Drosophila melanogaster: one gene and its partner. The protein of the gene in region 1 interacts with the protein of each later gene in a biochemical or structural test. Each region holds a gene or a part of one and is shown in the gene's direction. Other genes may lie near its edges.

Region 1 (4,612 bases):
CAACTACAACTATATCTTTAAATACATCATCATTGGTGACATGGGCGTGGGCAAGTCCTGCCTGCTCCACCAGTTCACCGAGAAGAAATGTGAGTAGACTGTGCTGAGTAATAATGTATGTAATAAGAACTAATCTCTACTTGCCGTCCTGCAGTCATGGCCAATTGTCCTCACACCATTGGCGTGGAGTTCGGCACACGCATCATTGAGGTGGACGACAAAAAGATCAAGCTACAGATCTGGGACACAGCGGGTCAGGAGCGATTCAGGGCAGTGACACGCTCCTATTACCGTGGAGCAGCTGGTGCGCTGATGGTCTACGATATTACCAGGCGGTAAGCGAAGCAAGCTACTATTTGAGAAATTGCTTTACAACTTGACCATTCCAGCTCCACGTACAATCACCTGAGCAGCTGGCTTACCGACACTCGCAATCTCACCAATCCCAGCACTGTGATCTTTCTCATTGGCAACAAATCGGATCTGGAGAGCACTCGGGAGGTTACCTACGAGGAGGCCAAGGAGTTTGCCGACGAGAACGGCCTAATGTTTCTCGAAGCGAGCGCTATGACGTGAGTTTCAACTGGAAGCATAGTGTTTGAGCATATACTGATTATCTTTTTTTTTATCGCCCAAACAGTGGCCAGAATGTGGAGGAGGCTTTTCTGGAGACCGCACGCAAGATTTACCAGAACATCCAGGAGGGTCGGCTCGATCTGAACGCCTCCGAGTCCGGAGTTCAGCACAGGCCATCGCAGCCGTCGCGAACTTCGCTGAGTAGCGAGGCTACGGGCGCCAAGGATCAGTGCTCGTGCTAAATGAATGATGGAACCTAACTTTACGCAAAACCTAGTTATACAAATCAACTTTTATTTTTAGCCGACTCGTAATCTACCGATGCCCAAGCAAAAACCAATGTATGTAGTTAAATAATTCGATTAAGCATCAATGTGTGAGCCAACAACAGCGACAGCAACCACAAAAAAAAAAAAAAACAGAAAAAGAAAATATAAAGTCCTTTCGCTTAATAAGACGCAAGCATTGCAACATTTATTGTATCGGTTAAGCATAAATACTAGAAAATTAAACATGTTTGTTGGCGCAAACTAAAGTTTTGACCATGAAATTTCGAAAAGTTTATCGCACTAACACCATCCTTCGGTCTCAATTTATAGATGAATTCGTTTGAGATATAGATCATGTTTTTGTTGGCTGATGAATCCCTGTATATAATATATATATGTATGAATTTTTGTATCTCCCTAATTTTTTGTTGAGTATTTGTTGTTGTCGCGTGCAAGAATTGGAGGAAACGATCAATGTTATATGAATATTTACGATGTATTAATGGCATAATGCAATAGGAAATAAATAAAATGGTATTTATAAAACCCCTACCAATAGAAATGAATTTCTCTTTCAAATAATTTAAATTTTAATTTGCATATTTAACCATTCGTTTATATTTAATTCTACACCAAATCGCTGGATAATTTTATAATTTACCGGATTTCCATTTAATAGATTTAAATTTTATAAATATTTGGGTACTTACGATTTACTTAAATATTTTGTAAAAAGCTTTTTTAATCCATTTAGTGGAATACCCTCAACTTTGACTTGCGCATAACTTCATTCTTGTTTTATTTAGTGATGCTAACGTTGGGTTGGAAATCAGCTGATTATGACTATGAACAATAAAGTTTGTAAGTCAAACAACGATTTTTCGTATACTGTTCTTTTGTTTGTTGCTGGTTGTCTAATTAATCATTTTAACTGGTTATCAGTCCAATTTTTGTTTTCTACACTACACTATTCTACACTATTTTCGATTTCCTTGAAATTTAGCGGGAAAAACTCTGAGCTAGCATCTTCGGTGGCATCGCTGTGTGCGCGCTTTTGTGCGAATGCCATGGTATGCAAATTAAATTTAATTTATTCCGATCATCATGAAAGTGACAAAGTAGCTGCTTAAGTAGCCAGGGAAGCGCACAACGTAATCTAATCTCGATCCATGATGCAAATCAAGCGCCTCCTGTGCAAATCCTGCGGCCTGGGCACCCTTCTGGTGGCGGTCGTCTGGCTGCTGGCGCTGCTTTTCTACTCGCACAGCCTGCGCAGCTCCATCCGCTCGGCAGGATGGAGGATCGACGAAGGGAACGCAACGCCACGGGCCGAGCTGAGCTACCAGGCCAGGGTCACCGTCGGATGCACTCCAAATGCCAGCATTACCACTGGCGAATCGCCGGCGGCACCCAAGCCGCCCAGTGATCCGGAGCAATTGGAACTGTTGGGTGTGGTGCGCAACAAGCAGGACAAGTACATACGCGACATTGGCTACAAGCATCACGCCTTCAACGCGCTGGTGTCCAATAACATAGGACTCTTCCGGGCGATCCCAGACACTCGGCACAAGGTGTGCGATCGCCAGGAGACCACGGAAGCGGAAAATCTGCCCCAGGCCTCCATAGTCATGTGCTTCTACAACGAGCACAAGATGACGCTGATGCGCTCGATTAAGACCGTGCTGGAACGCACGCCCAGCTACCTGCTGCGCGAGATTATTCTGGTGGATGATCACAGCGATCTTCCAGAATTGGAATTCCATTTGCACGGGGATCTGCGTGCCCGCCTGAAGTACGACAACCTGCGGTACATCAAAAACGAGCAGCGCGAGGGTCTCATTCGTTCCCGGGTCATTGGTGCACGCGAGGCCGTGGGCGATGTGCTCGTCTTCCTCGACTCGCATATCGAGGTCAATCAGCAGTGGCTGGAGCCGCTGCTGCGCCTCATCAAGTCGGAGAACGCCACTCTGGCCGTGCCCGTCATCGACCTGATCAACGCTGATACCTTTGAGTACACGCCCAGTCCACTGGTGCGCGGAGGATTCAACTGGGGCCTGCACTTCCGCTGGGAGAATCTGCCCGAGGGCACGCTCAAGGTGCCGGAGGATTTTCGCGGACCCTTCCGTTCGCCCACCATGGCCGGCGGATTGTTTGCCGTGAACAGGAAGTACTTCCAGCATCTGGGCGAGTACGACATGGCCATGGATATATGGGGTGGCGAGAATATAGAGATCTCCTTCAGAGCCTGGCAATGCGGTGGCGCCATTAAGATCGTTCCCTGCTCCCGTGTCGGTCACATATTCCGCAAACGACGTCCGTACACTTCGCCAGATGGAGCCAACACCATGTTGAAGAACTCACTGCGTTTGGCGCACGTCTGGATGGATCAGTACAAGGATTACTATCTCAAGCACGAAAAGGTGCCCAAGACCTATGATTATGGAGACATTAGCGATCGCCTCAAGCTTAGGGAGCGTCTGCAGTGCAGGGACTTTGCCTGGTATCTAAAGAATGTCTATCCAGAGCTGCATGTGCCGGGCGAGGAGTCCAAGAAGTCGGCGGCAGCGCCCATCTTTCAGCCTTGGCACTCGCGAAAACGTAACTATGTCGACACATTCCAGCTGCGACTGACGGGAACGGAGCTCTGTGCCGCCGTGGTGGCTCCCAAGGTGAAGGGTTTCTGGAAGAAGGGCAGCTCCCTGCAATTGCAAACCTGCCGAAGGACACCCAATCAACTGTGGTACGAAACGGAGAAGGCGGAAATTGTGCTGGACAAGTTGCTGTGCCTGGAGGCATCCGGGGATGCGCAGGTCACGGTCAACAAGTGCCACGAGATGCTCGGCGATCAGCAGTGGCGGCACACCCGCAACGCCAACAGTCCCGTCTACAACATGGCCAAAGGCACCTGCCTCCGGGCAGCTGCTCCCACGACGGGCGCCCTCATCAGTCTGGATCTGTGCTCCAAGTCCAACGGAGCGGGCGGCTCCTGGGACATTGTGCAGCTGAAGAAGCCAACGGAGGCGGAGGGCAGGGCCAAGGAGGCGAGGAACTCGGACAAGGCGCTGTGAGCGATTCGCTCGGATCGAATAATTCCGATTGCAATATTAGACTGATAACTGTTTAGGGCAAAGTGTATTATGTTTAAATAGCCAGTATTTTTTCATCAAACTTTTTTTTTTTAATAAATATGATCAAAATGTTGATGGTGCAGTTTGATTAATGGCCAATGGTGGTGGCCTTGGAAACAGGTTTTCTTTCAAATAATTTGCAAATTAATGTGTACGAATATGTTATGTCTGCATATTTAATGATTTTGTGATGACTTATCAAAATTTAACTTAATTGTGAAAATAAATGTATGTATGTACCTACAATTTACCTTATAAATATGCTTCGTATTCGTAATACGAATATCTTATATCTGCATATTTAATGATTTTGTAATGACTTATCAAAGTTCAACTTTGAATAATGGAAATTTTTGGACCTTTACCACTACAATTTTACTTATGAATATATTTAGATAGTTAAATTCTTGCAATATAACACCTTTTTTCCATTTGCTGCAATTTCAAAACACAATTTTCAATACCGACTATCTGGTGGTAATAGAAAAACCACGTTTTTTTTTATGTATATGTGTTATGTATATATTTATAAAGAATAAAAACTTTGTTAACTATAAAATAAACCTAAGCTCGAAATTGTACCGATAAAAAAAAAATTAATTTTAGTATATTATAGACTACCTATTAATTTGTACTTAA
Region 2 (5,058 bases), on another chromosome or scaffold:
AAAAAAAAGGTATAAAAAGGTAGACACAGCCAATGAATTAAGCCATTTTTGAGTTATTTTTGAATGTTAACCCAAATGGTTCAACTTCAAAAAACTGCAAAGGTTTAATCCATTGCCCCTTAATTAAATATATGCACAACAAGCCAAGAATGTTTGTTCCTGTACGAAGACTCAGATCGAAACCTACGACAACTAGCCAAATCAGAAGTCACATTCCCCCTCGGAATCCACATCCTCCTGATAATATTCAATGTGTCAAGTGCAGGCGAGCAACGCTTCTCTCCCTTTCTTGAATGATGCTCAAACATTTTTGCATACAACAGGAAATTGATTTTTCATCGACAGCAAAGAAAATCGGGAAAGCAAGACTCCATATCCTATGCAAATACTTTCAGACTACAAAAAAATTTGCGTCACGCGGCGTTGCCACATTGCGAGACTCGGAAAAGAAATGACAATTTCTCCGGCATCTCTTCTTCTTCCCCGCCGTATCCTTCTCGTGCTGGGAAAGCTGTCAAAAAAGCTTCAGCAACAACTTCCGCTACATGGCAGAGAATTGCCTGCACGACGGGCTAGGGGGCGGTCGGTGGAGGCGGCAGGATGAGACCTGCGTTCAAAAGTTAAGCCATTAGCGAAATGTCCTTTACTTTGCTTATAACGCAATTTTCTGCTTCTTTTCTCGGCCATGGCCCCCTCATCACCTACCCACCCCACGCTGGCCACCATTGTTTGTTTCGGACACTTTTTGGCCAGGTCCGCTCGGTTCTGGCTTGGGTGCTGAATGACAACTTCACTTGTCAGCGATTTGAAACTTTTTCGCCTCCCCTCGCCGCCACTGACTAACTTTTCTAGCGCTAATGAAGTCTGAGGATATTTTTTGGCTGCGTGAAAATGCTCCACAGAATCTGACAGCATAATTAGTAAATGAAAAACTGTTTTGTGTAATTCCCAGGCCACAGGAGGTTCAGATACCTTGAAATACAAATTCCATTGTTTTTAAAAATGTAGTTTTTAATATTTTTGTGTAACCTGCAATTTATTCAATGCAAGCTGAAAGTTAAAAGTTTTCGGAGGTTTTGGAAAACCTAGATATTTTAGGGCAATATATAAAGAGAATATATAATATATATATAATAATAAATAATATATATTATATAATATATAATATATATAATAAAGAATAAACTAAGCTATCTTTTAAAGTTTGTACCTAATAACTTAAATACCTCCACATTTACATTGATATTTTATGGTATATGGTATATGGTATACGTATACGCACTTTTATGTAAACCGGTTAACAGTTTTGTAATAAAATTAACAGTGTCGGTGTTAGCCGCCGGTGAAGCTGTTATTACAGCGCTGTTGGCCGCCTCAGATAATCTTAACGAAACTGGCGTGCAGCACGATAGATTCGAATCCGCTGTACATCCATTTCCCCTTAGCCAAACGAAACGCACTTTTTAACCTTCAAACCAGAGATTCGATGAGTGCTCTCATTTGAGTGCTGCATACTCTTCTGGTTATAAAAAGGCTAAACATACCATTGAGAACAAATATTGATGGTAACTTAACAGAAGCACAAGAGTATTAAAAGTATATTATTATATTTCCTTGCATATCTTTTTCTATAACGCTGTCATAGACTGGAAATCTATATGATTCGGAGTGATTCTTTTGCAATTAAATTAACCTAAACTACATAAGTAGCACCTATTATTCTAGCAAAATAGCTATATTTCCAGCTAAGGCCAGACTATCAGCAAATTAGCTAAATGGACAACGCTGGTGCGCGACCGCTCTCTCTCTCACAAATCATGCGCAGTATCAGAATAAATGAGAGAGCGACGCATTTTAACTGAAAAAGAGAGAATATGAAGCATATTGTTTTTCTCTCATATTTGCAGCGACTTGCGCTCTCTAGCTCTCTCTCTCTCTCCCACAGACTCGGTTCGTCGTTCGTTTTGAGCTCATTCGTCTTTTGAAATTCGCCTCGCACGGTCGGAATTGTCGTCGCGGAAAATGTGGATATACGAAAAGTAGCGAAAACAGCGCGTTGCTTCAGTCGAAAAATATAGAAAATCGTCGGGAATCAGGCAGCGAATGATACCTGCGTCTAACGAATTCTGACATAGTTTTACGATCGTCGCGCAAACAAACACACCGCGTCAATTCAAAAACACCGTTTTTCCCGTCGCGTTCCTGTGCTCCCCATCGTGTGTGTCCCGTGTTTTCAGTGTACGACTACTGAAAAGGCCCAAGAAATATTATTGCGGCCTCGGCGGCAGATTGTGATTGAGCTGGGACCAGCAGCCCGCCCGCAGATTAACCGTCTGGAAATGGCCCAGTAGAAATGTTTTTGAGTGCAGTGCGTCCAGTGCCATCCGCAGCCGCATCCGCATCAGCAAGTGCATGAATAATCGCGAGTAGCCAAACGCATACCAAGTCTCTTCTTCCTGCTCCCGTGCGGAGTCCTCCTCCTCTTCTTCTTCTCCTGTCCGGCTGTCTGGCCAAAAGCCCCCAAGCCGCCAAGATTAAGTTCTCAAAGCAGCACGCCCATCACGCGTACCGCCACACGGACAACATCTACGACGGCGGCACGGACACGGACGACGACGAATGTCCGCTGGAGGCGACCGCCATGAATCCCTACGAGTATGAGTCGACTCTAGACTGCCGCGACGTGGGCGGCGGCCCCACTCCGGCTCACGCCCACCCACACGCCCAAGGACGTACGCTCCCCATGAGCGGCCACGGGCGGCCGACGACGGACCTCGGTCCGGTCCACGGCAGCCAGACGCTCCAGCACCAAAACCAACAGAACCTGCAGGCCGCCCAAGCCGCCGCCCAGTCGTCCCACTACGACTACGAGTACCAGCACTTGGCCCACCGTCCGCCGGACACGGCCAACAACACAGCGCAGCGGACACACGGAAGACAAGGTGAGTGAGTATGCCGACCCCAGTGGGCAGTGTGGTCAGTGGAATCAAACCGAAAGCTACAACTCCGGAATTTAGTGGCCCAAATAGAGCGTCTGGAAGTGATTTAAAAAAGTTTAGGATGTGCGGAAATACTTTACAATGCATAAATTGGATTAAATGAATTTGTAACTTAAATTATGTTTGGAAATCAGTGAAAAATATAAAAGCGTTTCTGATAAGAGTACCATGCTGCTTAAACATACTGAGATCCGTTTTCCATCGCTTTCGTATACATCACCGAATTCTTTGACAGACGTGCCTAAATCAAATGAGCTAATTGATATCAATATTTTAAGAAAATGGAGAACATTTGGTTATTAGCTACGTACGTTGAGAGAGGATAGACTGGTTCTAAAACCATTCATTGCTACTTGGCATTTGTGTATTTTTAGTATTAGTCAAAAAGTTAAAAGCAAATTATGTATGTGCAAAAGGATTCCAATGTTTCTCAAACGCAATTCAAGTGAGCTACCGTGTCATCTGCTAGTTACAGAAATTATTCCTTTTTTCGGTGACAAAATCGTGCGGGTTGCGAATTCCAGCAAGTTGCGACAAGTTTGAACAAATTACGCCCCTTATCGGCGAATGCGGCCAAACATTTTGCCTAAATTAAACAAATTAAGGCGGCAGTCCCAATGGGAGTGGGATTTGGACTTCGCCTGACATTGAGCCCGCTCTTGTTTCGCATTTCATAATTTCCCTTTTTCCGACTGAGCGCGTTTTTTCACGATTTGTCTGATTAATAAAGCGAGAGCCACAATAGCCAGCGCACAAAGCGCAGTTGAAAAGGATACTCTCTGTCAGCCGACAGGAATTAGGGGGAATCCCAGACGATGTCCCCGCTCTGTGAAAAAATGCCTGCGGCTGGAAAATGCTCGAGACTTCTGAGAGGAGTTGGGTTACAGTAGCCTGCCTGATTGTACACTGACAGAAATCAGGGCACTAAGTTATGTTGATATAGATTTTGAATGAAAATCGTAGTTACTTGGATACCCTCTTAATATGAGAACAGAATTTTAGATTCTTTACTTTTAACTATTGTTTTGATGACAATAGTTCACGTATTTAACTCTAGATTATGTTAGTTCGCTGCTATTATCGATTTCAGCCAGCCTCCTCGTAGCGTCTTCATGGCCACTCCCAGACCTATCCAATATTTTCGATCCCTGGACCTCGACCACGAGCAACCTAAACACAAATACATGCTCCGACATGCTTCAGTTTTATTATTTCCGACTCTGCTTCTTGGCATTTGAACTTACACATAATGCGGACTTACATAACTTTATTTCTGGCATTTCCCTTTTGAGCTCCGGTGCCCATTTTCCGCTCCTCATCTTCTTCATCCTCATCGAAGCCATCCCACCGCAGCCGCGCTTGCTCTTCTCCTGCCTTTCAGCGTTTTTGTGGTGTTATAAAAACAATTGCCAAACAATTGGAGCTTTGAAACGAAATAAAAATCAAATGGAAATCGAACCTGGAGCACACGAACGTGTGGGTGTTTGGGTTGGGCTACCTGGCAGCGGCGAAAGAATTGTAAATTTACAGCAACAAATAAATTTCGTAACTGGCAAACAATAAATTCCTGAGACCCGAAGACTTTTGCAGAATTTCTTTTCAGCTTTGGCGCAAGAAATGAAATTGAATAAAGTGGGCCAGGGGGGTGCGATTGGGGCGGGGCGGAGCTCGTAAATTTTCAACACTTCACCAGGCAGCAGCTTTTCCCGCCTTCCTGCTCCCCAGTGCCTGTCATAAAATTGCCAAAAAGCCAAAACAGGAAAGACGGAGAAGCAGCGGAAAATTCTTTGCCTCCCCCACTTTGAAGCTGTGTTGATGTGTGAAAATCCGCTCGAAGCTGAAGCACCGAAATTTCAATGTCTCAATGCTTTATTTGTCGGCCTGCCAATTAGCCAAATTAGGTCGAAAAAATCGGCCACTTTGCATTATTAAAAGCCAACCGCAGCCAGGTTCGAGTCCAACTCCAGATGGCCTCCAAATCCAATCACAAGCCCCGCCGTCATAATGCACAAGTTGATGGCAAAAAAGACGAGAAACACGCAACTAATTTCGAAAATGG

The links.
Region 2: of the proteins of Pgant35A (region 1) and Ten-m, one has a biochemical effect on the other in vitro, tested with the Drosophila melanogaster proteins (one study listed by BioGRID).

The regions. Positions count from the first base shown.
Region 1 is NT_033779.5:14,357,366-14,361,977, forward strand, and holds Pgant35A (polypeptide N-acetylgalactosaminyltransferase 35A), read left to right. Parts: upstream 1-1,886; 5' UTR 1,887-2,014; coding exon 2,015-3,913; 3' UTR 3,914-4,046; downstream 4,047-4,612. Other genes in the region: Rab14, read left to right, coding at 1-89, 155-335, 390-572, 641-818. UniProt on the Drosophila melanogaster protein: Polypeptide N-acetylgalactosaminyltransferases catalyze the transfer of an N-acetyl-D-galactosamine residue to a serine or threonine residue on the protein receptor. Displays the same enzyme activity toward MUC1, MUC4, and EA2.
Region 2 is NT_037436.4:22,404,776-22,409,833, reverse strand, and holds the start of Ten-m (tenascin major), read left to right. Parts: upstream 1-1,970; 5' UTR 1,971-2,641; coding exon 2,642-2,942; intron 2,943-5,058. UniProt on the Drosophila melanogaster protein: Involved in neural development, regulating the establishment of proper connectivity within the nervous system. Acts as a homophilic and heterophilic synaptic cell adhesion molecule that drives synapse assembly.